2 linked regions of the Oreochromis niloticus genome follow. The protein of the gene in region 1 interacts with the protein of each later gene in a biochemical or structural test. Links are inferred from orthologs where the notes say so. Each region holds a gene or a part of one and is shown on either strand. Other genes may lie near its edges.

Evidence for each region. The genes of interacting proteins can lie anywhere in the genome.
Region 2: the proteins of rnf8 (region 1) and ube2v2 form a complex in vitro, tested with the Homo sapiens proteins (2 studies listed by BioGRID). The link is inferred for Oreochromis niloticus from reciprocal best matches to the Homo sapiens genes RNF8 and UBE2V2.

Annotation. Positions count from the first base shown.
Region 1 is NC_031980.2:14,133,370-14,140,824, reverse strand, and holds the start of rnf8 (E3 ubiquitin-protein ligase rnf8), read right to left. Parts: upstream 3,002-7,455; 5' UTR 2,893-3,001; coding exon 2,752-2,892; intron 2,546-2,751; coding exon 2,417-2,545; intron 1-2,416. Other genes in the region: aida (axin interactor, dorsalization-associated protein), read left to right, coding at 4,334-4,440, 5,156-5,222, 5,310-5,363, 6,809-6,863, 7,215-7,278. UniProt on the Homo sapiens protein: E3 ubiquitin-protein ligase that plays a key role in DNA damage signaling via 2 distinct roles: by mediating the 'Lys-63'-linked ubiquitination of histones H2A and H2AX and promoting the recruitment of DNA repair proteins at double-strand breaks (DSBs) sites, and by catalyzing 'Lys-48'-linked ubiquitination to remove target proteins from DNA damage sites.
Region 2 is NC_031982.2:18,524,054-18,532,151, forward strand, and holds the start of ube2v2 (ubiquitin-conjugating enzyme E2 variant 2), read left to right. Parts: upstream 1-4,945; 5' UTR 4,946-5,083; coding exon 5,084-5,099; intron 5,100-8,098. Other genes in the region: DNA replication licensing factor MCM4, read left to right, coding at 190-323, 609-704. UniProt on the Homo sapiens protein: Has no ubiquitin ligase activity on its own. The UBE2V2/UBE2N heterodimer catalyzes the synthesis of non-canonical poly-ubiquitin chains that are linked through 'Lys-63'. This type of poly-ubiquitination does not lead to protein degradation by the proteasome.

The sequences.
Region 1 (7,455 bases):
AACTAATTTGCCCTGGACAGGCCTTTAAAATACAAACTCATCACACGGCTGAAAGGCAGCACATGCAAATATTAAGTGACCCACTAAATTTCTTGGACTTTGTAGCATCTGGTGTGACCCAGAGCCGTATCCCAGCTGGGAGACAGGAGTAATTTTCCTTTTGTGGGCATGACAGAGGTGGTCAAAAGATGTCACGAAGGTACTGTGGATTGTTTGTAATCCATGTGTCTTGTACAGGATGTTCACACAACAAGCCTACACTACTTAAACATCCTGTCTCCAAGACATTTACACATGCTGGAGAGTAAACTGTTTAAGGATATTTCCTCACACCGAAACAATTTCAGGAGCCGTCTCAGCGGGTGAGTCCACTCCTTCGTGTCCAGGACACTGAAACGCTTTTCAAACATGCAACATTTTACAATGACGTCATTCTGCCGTTCAGACTGTAGGTCACGTCCACGTTAACGTTCCCCACCACAGCTTCATTCAGAGAAACATACAAAAGGGATGGGCACAGAGCCATAGTAGGCATGTGATTTTTACAGCATGTCCTAGATTAATACAATGAAGATTTCTACAACTTGCAGTACCAGTTATATTCTGATAGCTGCTTAGCTGCTGCTAAAAATATAAAACTGAGATGCTGTGTAAACACAGGTACACAGTATCATTCTGTGTTAGAGCCTGATTGATCCAGTCTGTCTTGTGCCACATGAGTTAATGTTTTTAGCTCTCCTCTGAGAGGCTCATGGGTAGATCCTGTAGCGGTTTGATGCTGCAGGAACGTAATAGACGCAAAGGAAAAGACACGGCTGGAGGCAACAATCTGGCTTCAGCTTCCGTCAAACTTCTTTCAAACCCAGATTAAAGCTGTTACCGATAAGCCCCATTAATGTGACCCATAATAAACTCAATGTGATGAGGGAGGTATGTAATAGACATTTCAGTCTGTAGCTGGTGTGAAATAGTAAGCACAGCAATTATTAATTTTTGTACATGAGATTACCAAAGACTACATAGTTGAGTTCAGAAAGCAAAATGAAAGCAAGTATGACAGGGAGTGATTTATTCATGAGCTGCACACTCGGATAGGCTGAGGCTGAAATGGAACAAACTGACAGGTGTTACAACCGAGAGCTGTCCAAACCTGACAGAGATAAATTTGGGACTTTTTAAGCAGATCCAGATAAAGACACTGAAATGAACCCATAACTGGAACTGGTATTTTTCCATTGTATTGTACACCAGGATGTGTTGCATAAGTCAGTGCTAAAAATGAACACATTACTGATGCTTGTTGCACTTTTGATTCCCTACTGCAGAGAACTTCAAGTCAGTATCACCACTGGATTTGAATTCTTCTCTCAAAAAGGAGAACTTTCAACACATAAGAAGGCATGCACAGAAGATGTTGGTCCTCTTTGAATCTAACTTTGTATGTAAACAGACCTTCTCATTAAGAAAGTTAATCATATCCCACCTCAGTGCTGACACTGAACCGGACTTTAACACACTTGTTAAGGGCCAAAACAGACTAGATTTCATTCGGTGAGTAAGGAAAGAAAGGCAAAACTGCAGATGAAGCAATTTAGACTACAAGTAAAATACCATAGCATGGAAATTTTGCATAAGGATGCACACTGTTTTAACAATCTTTGGGGAAATGTTCATTAAATAGAAATGGTAAAATATTGGCGCTTTAACTTAATCTATTTCACATTTTCATTGCCTAACATCTAATGTGATTCAATGTTGCTGTTGAAAGTCCTGAACCTTTGGCCTTCTGCATTTTAGTGTACCTCAGAACATAAAACAGTATATGATTAGTATGGTATTGCTGTCCACCTTTCATCTTATGTTGCTAGAGTTATAAGGGTTTGAAACTTTTGCTACTTGTCTATGTATAATTTGTGGTATCTGTTGCACAGTTTGCAAAACTTATTTTGTTGCCATTATATAAAGATGAGCGTGATAAATAAATACCATGAAATGATATACAGAATAACATAAACTTCCTACAACACAAATGGGCAAAATTGACATTCCCTGACATCCTTTATTTGTGATGAACACATAAATACATAAAAAAGTTGACAATGCTGATGCTCAAGTGTATTTATGGCTTTATGTCACAGTAAACCAGACTGACTCAAAACTTCACCAAATGCCAACATAATACTGGTGGGTTTTAAAACATGGACCCATTCTTATCTTCTAGATCTTCCCAAACTAATGGGGTTTAACATAATTTAGTAATATGTGCATCATGTTTTAATTTCGTGTGGCTCTATTTACTTTATCCACGTCAGCATGCCTCCCTTAGAGAAAGTGCAGCCCATCCCTGCACAGGACTTGTACCAAAGACCTCTAGCACAGCCTTTAAAATATATTTCACAATAAAGCTCGTTGTCACCTTCTTGTCTGTCACTGTCCAGTGGCCGTCTTCACTTTGTTTGAAAGTGCAGTGCAGTCTGGAGATCATCAGGGGACAGGCTGGAGACAGTAGTTGGTAAGTTACATCCACACCACGTCCAATGGTGATCTGCACAGCCAAAAATAAACACGTTAGTTAGCTCCACTCTGCATCTCTCCAGTTCTATAAAAAACGGACAGGGACACTCTTCAGCTTAAAACAATTCTAAATTATTAACCATAAATTGAGGGTAATGTTCCCCCTACATGTAAACTGGAATCTGCCGTGAACCTGAGCAAGCTTCATGTTAGTATAAATATAGCACGTTAGCTAACATTAGCAAGCTGCACCTCTGTGTTTTCGAACAAGCGAAGCCAGTCAGAGTTTCTCCCGACTCTCATCAGACAAAAAACCTCCGAGTCCGGACATTCATCGTCTTCAACCGCACAGCAATCCGCTGCCGTCTCTTTATCCATCTTATCTCATTCTATCAGCGGCCAAGTCGTCCGAAAGGACACCACTAACTGCGTTGTTTCAGCTCCTCCGCCACATCCCGACATACTGGGAGAAACCGGAAGACATTTCATTTTCTTTCAAAATAAAGGCCACAGATGTGCTTCAACGCTTATCTTTGGACAGCCCATGAATCACTTGGATCCCTCTAAAATCATTTAGTTTTTTTATTAATTCAAAATTTATTCAGCTTTTGCAGACCCAAAGTAGAAATATTACGGTGTCCATGAACATATTACAGTAGGGACAAAACAAGACGTAGAGTTTTATGTTTCGTCACTCATTCAAGTAACTTCTTCAGTTCACACAATGCATTATGCGAATATACTGTTTATAGAGTTGCTAATAAGGTCTGGAATTTAATTGCCTGCATGACTGAGCAACCATCAAGACAAATAAATAAATGAAATAACACTTTTAAATTTTACCCTGAACCAGCTGCTTAAAGTAAATACACCCATTTAGTTATATTAACACTGAAATACTCTTTTTTTTTTTTTACCCTCTCCACTTCATTTTCACCTCAGGAAAAAAAAACAAATCTTTTACAATTGAAGGTCAAGAATTATAATAATTTATAATTATAATAAAAAGTAATCATGTGGACCCTGTTAGTGTTGTAATAACACATGTTTAACTTCAAACCTTTTAATTATTCCTACATATAATAAGTTTGTGTTTGTTAGTTTGCATTTTGTATTGCCTCAAGACACCGTAGACGTCTATAATTTCTTTTGTTTTATCTCTTTTGGTAAGCACATTGAGTATAAGTGTAAGGAATGGTGCTATATAAATAAAACTGACACTGACACTGATATTACACAGTCACAGTCATATTGTATTTTATTATAAATATTATTTGTTTTTTCGTTAGAGCTTGTGTTTACTGTTATTTACCATTCAAAAGCAGTGTAGTGAAAGATACTTATACCTAAAAAAAAAAAAGAAGAAAAAAGTGGAGAATACAACAACAACAACAAAAACCCAAACAGCCAAACATGAACATTGTTACTTTGCAGTATTTTAACCGTAGTACTGCTTCATAACTGTTGCTGGTGTATACAGTTGTTAAAAATCCCTGCACCTTTAAATAAAATAGCTCTTCTTTCTCCCCGCAGCTCTCAAACCTCTAACGCGCCGCGGTGCTCTTCGTCCATTCGGGCGACCCCGAGTCCCGAAACGCGCGCACCCCGAGCTCCAGGCGGGACTTCCTTTCTCCTGCGGATGCGCTGATATTAGGGTGAGCAGGCAGAAAGGGCTTGGTCGGGGTGTCACCGGTCTATCCGCGCGCCTCTGCACAGCAGATGACCTGGCCGACGACTCCGCTGCCGCTGAAGCCCCGTAGATGAATCTCCTCCTCGGCTATGCTGCCCTGAGAGCGCCGCGAGTATCCGCCCCGCCAACATGTCTGATGTCAACAAGACTATTCAGAAATGGCACGCCAGTTTTAAGAAAGGCACAGACTTTGACTCGTGGGGACAATTAGTGGAGGCTATAGATGAGTACCAAATGTAAGTTGCATTCAACATGTGTGTCCTGTGTGTCCACAGCGCTGGTTTAACCCGAACGCAGTCCGGGCGCTGTGCTTCTTCTTTTTTTTATTCTTTTCCTTTCTCTGGGTCGCCTGTCCCTAAAATCTGCAGGGAAACATGTAGGAGACAGTAGGTGCAAGAAGTTAGCCCGTGTGCTGTCAGTCAGCTCTCGGAGCAGTAAATAAACCCTACCCATCCATGACGTGATGTGGCAGTTGTTGCAGTGGGGAGCAGATGTGTTGCCTGATGCATCCTAGCTCCGTCCACAGCAGCACTTTGGAGTTTAAGGGAGAGTCCGTCCATGTAGCCTGTCATGGAAAATCGGTCGGAGCTGCGAGCAGTCTGTTTCATTATGTGTCATGCAATGCAGAAACGGGCCAGTATTCCTCAGAGTGTTGGGAAACAGTCAGCCACACCCTCTCATTGTTATGGGTGGGTTTCATCTGCTGAGTGAGGAATGGTTTCTGCTTCTCAGACCAGATCTTTGTCTTTGCAATTTCCTTAAAATGTGCCCAGCTTCTCTCCCAGTTAATAGTTTATTTAAAACTGCACTAACAATACAAAAATCCAGATCCATGCAGCAGCTTCTACTGTCCGCAGGGGGGCGCACAGACACACACCTTACCTTATAGGAGTCTTGCAGGGTCTTGCAGTGAATCATTAACGCGTCTGTGTTTCATGTGGGTTCGTGTAGTTTGGCAAGACAACTGCAAAAAGAAGTCCAGTCAACAAATTCATCAGACTTCACCGAAGAGCAGAAGGTAATCATTACATCCGCCTGCAGCTTCTGCACCGGAGTGTCTGTCACTTTACTTAAACTAACAAGTGTTTTTTTTTTTCTTTTAAAGAAAACTCTGGCAAAGATTGCAACATGTCTGGAGATGAGAAGTGCCAGTTTGCAGGTTTGTATAGGAGTCTGCATGATTAGTAGCTACAGAAAGGAGGCAATGTCCAGGTTTTCAGAGATGCTGAGGTCATCATTATTATATAAAAGTAAAATTTGAGCATCAGCAGTTTTACTTATGCATATAACGCTTTTGAAAGTGGTCTTGAGCAATAGTTCTCCAGGCTTTCTGAAGGTCTTTCAAAGTTTGTCTTTGGACATTGGCCAATGGTCCTTGTACCTGACCATTTCCAAAGGGAAGTTTTTCCTTGTTAAGTCACTTAACACTAACCTGTGACTCATTCAAGCATAAAAAGGCACCTAATTCAAGGGACAAAACGGTCTTGTATTTACACATATCAGGCAACTTAGCAAAGAAACAATTTAAAATGTTATCTTTAGACACTTTGAGTTTTAAAAGGCATAAAATTGTGTTTGTTGGACTGATTCCCAAAGAGCTATTAACTGAAAAAGTGTCCTTAAAAAATAAAATATGGAAAAGTGTCAAGTATAGAAGAAAAGAAGAAGTGGCAGGCCTGAAATACAAAACAGTGCTTCAAAGCCTTAAGAAACAGGAAAAAATCCAGCAAAAACCTGACACAGGACCTGAGAGATCCATCTGACCCTTCAGCTGAGCCTTGTACTGTTCAACAAAGCTTCATCAGAAATGGTCTCAGTGGAAGGGTGGCTGTCAGGAAGGCGTTCTTAAGGAAAGGAAACGGGGAGAAAAGGCGAAGGGATGCCAACTTAAACAAGAACTGGACTGAAAATCAGTGCCAAAAGGTCTTATGGAGTGATGAATCCAAGTTTGACATTTTTGGTTCAAATCGTCATCGGTAAGTATAGAAGGGGTCAGGAGAGAGGTGTAGCGGTGGGTGTCTACACCCATCTGTAAAACCTTGTAATGATTTGGGGCTGCGTTTCTGCCAGTGTGTGTTAGGGATCTTGTTAAAATCGATGGAATAAGAACACAGAAAAGTACAATCAGATTCTGGTCCGTCCAGAAAGTGTTTGATAATGGCTTTATGTTTCTGCCCAAACACACTGCCAATGCAGGAAAAGTATTCCTGAATACAGAAACACACAAAGAGTCACCGTCAGTCATGGATTGACCTCCCCTGAGCCTGAAGCTCAACATTAATGTGAGATAAGTGTGAGATCGTCTCACATTGAACAGAAGACGACCAACTTCCAAGAAAGAGCTGTAAATGTCATTCAAGAAGCCTGGAGAGCTATTTCTGAAGACTGCCTAAAGAAACCATAAGAAAGTGATCATAAATCTTGACTTTCAAGCTCGTTAGAGTTGTTTTTGCCTTGTATGCTGTATGTTTAAACATTTTTCTCTTTCCCATTATGAATAAATTAGGGATGGCTCGAGACTTTTGCACAGTGCTATAAAAAAAATACATTCACTTCCTGGGGAAAAACAAATACTGAACATATCCTTTGTCTGGGTTTCTTCAGTGCACTCAGTCAAAGGAAGAGTTCAAGTTAGAAGACCTGAAGAAACTGGAAACCAGTAAGTGTATGACTGGGGTTTTTCCTGGCTCGAAATGGGCCTCTAAGGGGCGACTGCAGAAAAACATGATTGGTGTGTGTATAGTAAAGATGTTGAAACTGTGTGGCCTTATTTGACAGAACTCTACATGCATTCCTGTCATTTCTGGGCATTTTGCAAACAAATGTTTATTACACTTTAGTAAATGAAAGACTTTAAAATGTTGATCTGGCGATTTATTTTTTTTTTCCTTTTGCTCTGGCCTGTGGAAAAAATTTCTCTGTGAAGGAAAAACACTGATGAACAATTTACTGGATATTCTGACATGTTTGAATAGTGATATAATCAACTCTACTCCTTTTTCTTCAACAGTAATTAAAAATGTACTCACCTACAACAAAGAGTTTCCATTCGATGTTCAGCCGGTGCCGTTAAGGTAAAAATCCATCACTGGTGTTATTACTGCTTTGGGCTCATGCTTCCTGTGTCATTGTGTCTCAACATTACTGGATTTACAGATTTTTATGAATTAATACAATAAAAGAATAACTAATAGATCAACATGAGTCATGTGATCACACACAAGCGTTGATAATTTTATCTTCACGTCTCT
Region 2 (8,098 bases), on another chromosome or scaffold:
GTGTCAGGCTCATTTTACAATGGCCTTGCTTTGAAACACTAGTTCCATTTTCTCCATTGTAAAGATGCTACTTGGGCTTTTCTGGCCTCTTTATAGGACAACTTTTGAACCCCAGATTAATAATGCAAATAATCTTTAGGTTCAGTCCTGCAGTTGCATTTCAATGCATTGTTCTTTGCTCGATTACAGGCATGAGCGCCACAGCACGCAAGCGCAAGGAGGAGGTAGCCCAGGCCCTGAAGAAGCTGATCCAGGCCAAAGGGAAGACGCCAGCCATGAAATACCAGCAGCTGCTCGATGACCTCAGAGGACAGTCTGAAACTGTGAGTGTTTTTAAATCTTTATTTTTATTAAGCCAGCATGAAGTCAAAGCTCAAATATCAGTTTGATTTCAGCTCTTCAGATGGCGATTGCTATGACCGTAGCGTGGCACTTGTTCCTCATTAGACTGAGCAAAAGCCAAGCTCTAACATTTCTGTCTGTATCCTCTGAAATATCACAAAATTCAGCCAGAGTAGCCGTCGACACGTTTGCACTCTTTGAGTATTTGCTGCACTCTTTCATCACTTCCTCTCTAATGACTTCCTCCTCTCTTGCCCCGTTTGCAGGCGATTACTAAGGAGCTGTTCGACGAGGCGTTGCGAGCTCTGGCTGACGAGGATTACTTGACAGTCACTGGAAAGACTGTTCGTCTCCTTGCTTAAGGCACACCCTGCAATTATGTACAGTCCTTAATTTTAACTCCTATCCCATGTCGACTTCTTTACTCGTGCTGTAAAAAAACGTATTTGTATAACTGAACCAGCATGTGCTGAATATCTGGGTGTATTAGACCCCCGATTGGTGATTCAGAAGGACCCCATGACTCATTAAACGCTGGTTTCCTGTTGCAGTTTTTATAGGAACGTGTAAAAACTGCATCCAGTGTTGACTTAAAGAGCTCATATTTGAAAGTACTTATTTTCTTTGTTAACTTGTTGTTTTGTGCTGTGATTAAAAAGCTCTTTGGATAACTTGTACATTATAATCACAGACTTTGTCTTTTGGAAACTGTTAAAATAAGTTCAAGCTTGCTTTGTGTTTTTTCTTTTGGATTGAGTAGCTCATGTTGACTATTTGTTTATAGAGAATAAATAAAATGTTCACTTAAAATGCTTGCAAAGGTTTCTTACTTCTGACCTGCATATTTCACCAGTCTCTCTATGTTCAGTTGTTTGCTACCTGTTTCATATATGCAGAAGAGCCTACTGCTGACTTTACTGGGTGAATTTTGGTAGTAGATGGACTGGTATTTGTTCCAGTTTCCAGTATCCTGGCCAAGGATGCTTCTGACGTGCAGGTGAGCCAGTGATCAATCATTGAAACGAGGCAGGGTGGATCCAAGCTTTCGTGTTTACACTGATACTGACCCTATCATCCAAGTGACACGACAGAAACTGACTTATTAGATGTTTTTCCAATTTTCTTTATTTATTGTACCTGATGTGGTCTTCTGCTATAGCCCATGGGTCTGGAGATGCTCTTCTGCATACCTCAGTTGTAAGGAGTGATCATTTAAGTTCTTGTTGCCTTCCTGTTAGCTGAAAGCTGTCTCCTCTGGCATCAACGAGGTATTTTTACCCAGAGAACTGCATATTTTCTCTTCTGGACCATTCTCTGTACGCTCTACAGATGGCTGTATGGGAAAATTCTAGTAATCAGCAGTTTTTGAAACAGTATTAACAACCACACAACATTACAAGTCACTTGAGGCATCTCTCTTCCTTATTCTGATGCTCAGTTCTCATCAGTGTGTGGCCAATTTACACTGTAATGCAGTTTTCCTCCATTATGTAACAAGTGATAAAAGTCTATACAGAAAGACTTATTATGAACCATTAAATAATGACATGTAGACACGTTGGTTTCATCATGTGTCTACTTGTCTATGAATGTCTCCACTACCAAACCTGTTTTATCATTTAACAATGTAGGGCTCCAGCAGAGGAAATGCAAATGTTAAATGCATTTCACTGGTGCATGAATAATTGAATATGCTTTAAAAACATTTCAAAAATATACTCTCCGAGCATTTCAGAGTTTCCCAGACATAGAAGGTCAAGGTCCAAGGTCAGAATTGAGGTCAAAAGGTCAAAATCATAATTTCATTTTAATTTGACTTTCATACTTTGATCATTCAGAAGAGTCCAATTTAATCAAAACTAGATGGCTTGTTCAGAAAGAGTGGCTATTTTAGGTCATTTTTGCCAAAGTTCAAAGGTCAAAATGTATGATAGTCATCTCTGCTTTCGGTTAAGAACTTTTGGTCTTGGTAGCATTGTGCCATATCGTGAAAACTAGAACCAACCAACCATTTTTCCATTTATCTTGACCCAAACTTAGTCAGAATAAACGTAGTCAGACTTGACGATCTGTCCCAGTGTGCAGTGCACTGCTGCTTTTGTGCTCCCTGGCACTTTGGTGCAGTCCTTCGCTCACACCGGTTTAGCTCAATATCTGTCATCACAAGTGTGAAGCAATCGGAGCCATGAATAAAAAAAAAACGTTGGTTTGACCTGCTCAGCAGTTCAGCAGGGGGGTGCGGGGTTTGAAGTGGTAAAACATGAGCGTGAGAGCCTGCTGTCGCATAAAATCATGCTTAAACGGACGTGCCGAGCGGCTCTTTTATGTGGCTTTATCTCAGATTACAGCGGAGACCCCGGAGATTGTACACCTGCAGCTGGAGCCAGAATGATGCGTTGCTATAGCAACTACAGCTACATGGCAGCAATCAGAGTCAGCGATGAGAGTCAGTGACTTGACCAGCTACATCCACCATTTTGTCTTATCTGTGAACACACTTCATCTGATTCCCAAATGCTTCTGCTGCACGTCCTCTATCAGTTTATCTCTGCCGTCAATTTACTGGCCTGATTATACATGTGTAAAGTATGTTTTTTGCTATTGTATTTTTATTGTAGTCCAATTTTATCAGGTCTGACATTAGTCAAATAAATGGATAGGATATTGGAGGGAGAAAAACTTTTAATCCAGATCTGTAAGCTTAAATTATCCAATAACCTGACCACTGAGGAGATGCAGTAAAGCCAGATGTGTCTCGAATCTCTCAGATATCTGCTCTTCATAGCTTAACTGTGTCTTTCCTTCTTACAGTGCAACCTGCATAAATTCTGGAACTGGAATGGACACCTGTATTATCCACAAAAGTGTGTTCAAAGTTTCAAAAATAAAACAAACCTTTTATTTTGTGAAATATCTGACCCTTCTCATCCTGTTTTAAATGTAACTGAACTCGGTACAAATCAGCAGACGAGGTTTTGTCTAAGAACGTCAAAAGCCCGACAATTTAGGAGATGCTTGCTTAATTTTGAACGGTGATGTGTGACGTGTGCAAAATCCTAACCTGCCAAGCTGTCAGCTGTCACCAGGCTGAAATTTACCTGAAAAAAATGATAGTTTTTGTCAGTCATAATGTCCAAAGTATGGGGGTATGATAGAAAACTAATACAGCCTGCACGTATTTATATTAAATCTGTTAGTGAAGTTGTTAAGGCTCTAATCCTAACCAAAAAGAAGTACCTAACACTAACCTTGGAGGAGAAAACATAACTAAGCACACATCCACCTGCAGCTGAGGCTCCATGCAAGTGATACCAAAAGACAAATACAAGCAGCAGCTGACAAAACTGCATGTCGTGAAACCTGGTGTGAGAAGATGGTGGTACATCCTGTGAAGGAGGATCAGGTAGTTCCTCTCAGTGTGTTGCTGCTCCTTTAAAAAGCTGCACTGACTTAGTCTTAACTTTCATTTCAGCATGGTGGTGCAGTGGTTAGCACTGCTGCCTCATAACAAAGGGGCCCTGGGTTTGAATCCATTGGCTGGCTGGGGCCGCTTTGTGTGGAGTTTCCATGATCCCCATTCCTACATGGCTTCCTCTCACAGTCCAAACACATGGAGTTTGGACTGTGACCAGTTAGGTTAACTCGTGATTCTAAATCGACTTTGTAAATGATTGTATGTCTGCGTGTTGTCTCGTGAGTCCTCCCACTGCTTCGGTTTGCAAACTCCAGCTGTCCCCCTGTTTGATATGCTGAATGTAAAAACACTTCCACAAATGATGGTGCAACCCTTGTTAAAGCTCCTCGACCCAGCCGATAGAGCAGAGAAGAGAGGACCATCCTTTTTAGGAACTAAGACATCCTTTAACATAGCAGACTGATTGCCAAGGCACATGCAGGAGAACTGGGAACTGAACCGCGAGTGGCCTCTCCCAAACTGATGTCTGTAAAATTGTTTCACAAGAATGCATTTGTAATTTTTATTATTTATTCTTGCATTTAAGCGAGAATAAAAGCCTGACCATCAATTCAGTCATCAAATTGTGTCCAGGGGTTCAGACATGACCCAGGCATGGTCTTAAGGCTTTCCTGGGACTCGTTAATGCTCCTCAGCCCCAGTTTGCCAAGGATGGTACCAAGCAAGTTAAAGGCCTACTGTAAGAGCACAGAATCTGAACCACATGAAGCAGGTTAACAAATAAATGTAGGCGTCTTCTGATGATACAATCAAATAACTGACAGCAGGATGATGATCCGAAGTGAAGATCTGAATGAAGGTTTTGGAGTGACCAAGTCCAGATTTGGCATGATGTTATACTCGAAAACCTTACAGTATGGCTAAATTAAAACTATTCTGCAAAGAATAGTGGGCCAAAATTCCTCCACAGCAATGTCAAAGACTCATTACCAGTAACCACAAATGCTTGGTTGCAGTTCTTACTGCCAAGGGTGCCACAACCAGTTATCAGGATTAAGTCCAGGCAGGTTTGAGTAACTTTGTATCCTTAATGAATGGAATCGTCATTTAAAAACTACTTTTATTTGCTGTGTTTACGTTTGTCTAACACTGAAATTAGTTTGACGATATGAAACATGAAAGAATGGAATGAGAGTGAGAGTGGACAGGTGCGAGCAGCCCGTCAGCAGCGTGTAATGCCGCTCTCCGCCGGTGTGATGCTGCTCGCCCGATTTTTAACCGCCGTGATGTCACACATCTGTGTGCTTCTGGACTCGGCTGAAGAAGATGGCGGCCTCCTCAGGTTTGTGTGTCTTCAAACTAACATATACAGCGACGTGATGTGCGGCACAAGTCGAGGCCTCGCTGTTATTTCAGTCACGACACGGAGACTTTTTACTTAGGAGAGATGTTTATGAAATCGCTTTGATTTGTAATCTACTGCAGTCGATGAAGCAGTGAGCCTCACGGGAGCCATCTATGTCACGGAACTGCTGTGTTGGCTAACCTAGCCTAGCTATATAGCAAAGGAGTGACTAGCTGGCCCCGTGAGTTAGCTGAAATAGCTTAAGGTGGCCTTCACTGTGGCCCACACGGACACCGTGCATGTGAAACAAACGTTAGCTATAAAAATCCAGTATAAAATTTTAATTTGGTGTGTAAGTTTCTGTTAATATGGGTGTTGCAAACAACCATAGATGGCATTAGCTAACTTAGCGACTAGAATATTCCAGCACCGCGCGGCACTCACTCCCATTTTGTCCAGCTAGCTTGATCGGAATATTCTTATCACATATGAACGTCGTAAACGCGTATTTTATGTGATTAAATAGCCACAAAAGCACAATAACCTAAGAGTTAAACATGCATTATGAGAAATTTTGTATAGCTTCTCCATGAAACACCGCATACGGCCGTACACATAATGGTATCGGAAATGTTTTAATGTGGGGAGCAGTTCCGCCTCTGCTTTTATTAGCACGCTGCTCGCTATTGTTGTGACACGCTTAACGCCTTTGTTTAACCCATTTTCCATTAGGTAAAAAAAATGTATTGTATTTACACGAGGTGGGTATTTGCAGTTGTAGGGCGGGGAAGATAGACGAGCACCAGCTCGATTAACTACAACCGCTGTAGTGGGCACGCTTTGTTTCAGCAAGTAGTCGGGGCCCGTGCTTGCCTTCAGCGCTCCAACAGGAAGCGTGGCTTTTCAAACTTGCAAAATAAACGCCCTGAACTACAAAACAAAATAATAAAAGCAAGTCGCAGCAAACAGCTTTTATTTTTGTGCAGATCTTAAGCAACCGTAACGGAGACGAAACGGCAAAAGGGAGCGAAGTAGAGAACGTAGGAAGTAAGTTCGTAATCGAAACTGAGAAGTTGGCGCGACCTGCCGATTCATTTTTAACCTAGCTTAAGATTTAAGTTGCCCCATCAAAGACACAGACACACATGTGGGGAGCTGTTTAGATTTCTTCCAGCCGAGTTCTTAATTTGAGTTGCAGCAATACCTTTAACCGTCACTGCAACTGATAATACTTGTCAGACGGGTGAGGGCAACCACAAACAAGAGAAGAGCGGCAACAAAATTAGCATTCAGTTTGTACACAGTGATGAATGTGGCGAACACACTCATTACTGAGCCGATCCTTTATTCTGTGGCCTTTGCACCAACATGACATGATAGACCAACAGTCACCAACTCAGCTGTGTGTTGTGGAGACCAGCTGATGAATCGGTCTGCTGATATTAACCAGTCGCGTTTGTGTCCGTATCTATGTGTTAATGAATAATCTTTAATTAGCAATACAGACAAAAATGCTTGTAACTGGTCTAGAGCCTCTTCTTTTGCTCCTTTTGACTGTTTTTAGCACAGCTGACATTTCAAGATCGCTCCTGTGTTCTATTACTTAATCTTTCTTTCACTTAAACTTTACCCTGGTGTGTGTATATATAGATAATATTGACTGATAAATCAGTATTTTACATTTTTAATTGCTGAATTTTTGCAAACAAACAAAAAAAAGTATGTTTTGTGACCAAAACCCTGCACTTAGTGGCTCATTTTCCATTTGAAAAACAGAACATTACCAGAAAACGCAAACAACAAATTTCCCATTGGGAATTTTTTTTTCTTTTCCAGAGCTAAAACTTTGTAAGTAACCAAGTATTTACAGAAAGGTATAAATAATTTCTGTTTAATAAACAAATTGCACTAAAAAGCCGTTATAATGTTGCTATTACAGACAGTCCTGTTGATATCGGTGTCTCTGCAATGACTGAAATCTTTCAACAGTTTCTAGCGAGCAGAGACATTTTAAGAGTCAGCCGTTCGTTGCAGTCTTGCCTGAAGGGCTGATATTTTTTTCCTTTAAAACTTATCTCTGAAGTCTGACCATGATGACTTATCTGAGATCACAGGAGGTGAAATGAAAGATTACATTTCTTCGCCTTCCGCTTCAGGCATGTGGCCTTTTTTTTTTTTTCTTTCTTTTTTTGAGGAAAATGGCTCCCTTCATTTCCCTTTTTGTGGGTTTGTCTTTAGGATCATACTTATGAATACCAGTAGTTTCACGTAAGCGCAGCCACCGCTCCTGTAAGTGGTTCATCATTTACAGTCCGCTGAGTTCCTGTCAGGCTGTGTGTTTAATGCCAACTTATCAGCCCCCCTCCCCCCTACGAATACCCTCCTCCCCGAGCAGCCAAACATTGGATTGAAGAGTTCTGAGCGATGTTCTCATCGGCCCGGATGTTAAGACGCTGGTCATAAGATGGATTTTACTCTGAATCACTCATTAAAAATCAGCAGTATAGGCCCATGTGCTTCAGCTCTCGTGACCATTTCCAAACAGCTGTCAAAGCGCAGATATATTTCAAGCTTCAGTGTTAACGCGGCAACACATGTCTTCAGTGAGTGACTTCTGATCAAGGTATCAAATTCAAGCCACAGAAGGTGAACGTAACATACTGTGAGCTGCGGTCTGCCGAGCTATTTCTTGTATCAGCTTGCCCTGTTTTATGCACATTTAACCGCTTCACTCTTGTACATGGATTGCATGTTTTGATCCTAAGTATGAAGTCAAATTTTCATGAAACACCAGCAGCGGAAAAAAACAGACCGCAATTTATCAGAGTGGCTGCTGAATATTTTTCTGCCGGTCAGCTAATTGTTTCAGCTTCGTGCGCTGTACCAATTAATCTGCCATATATTCAGTCAGGCAATTGATCTTTTGACCTGTATATTGTCAAACAGTGAAAATCATTTTCAGATCGACATTTTAAAACTGTTTTGTCAACAAAAGT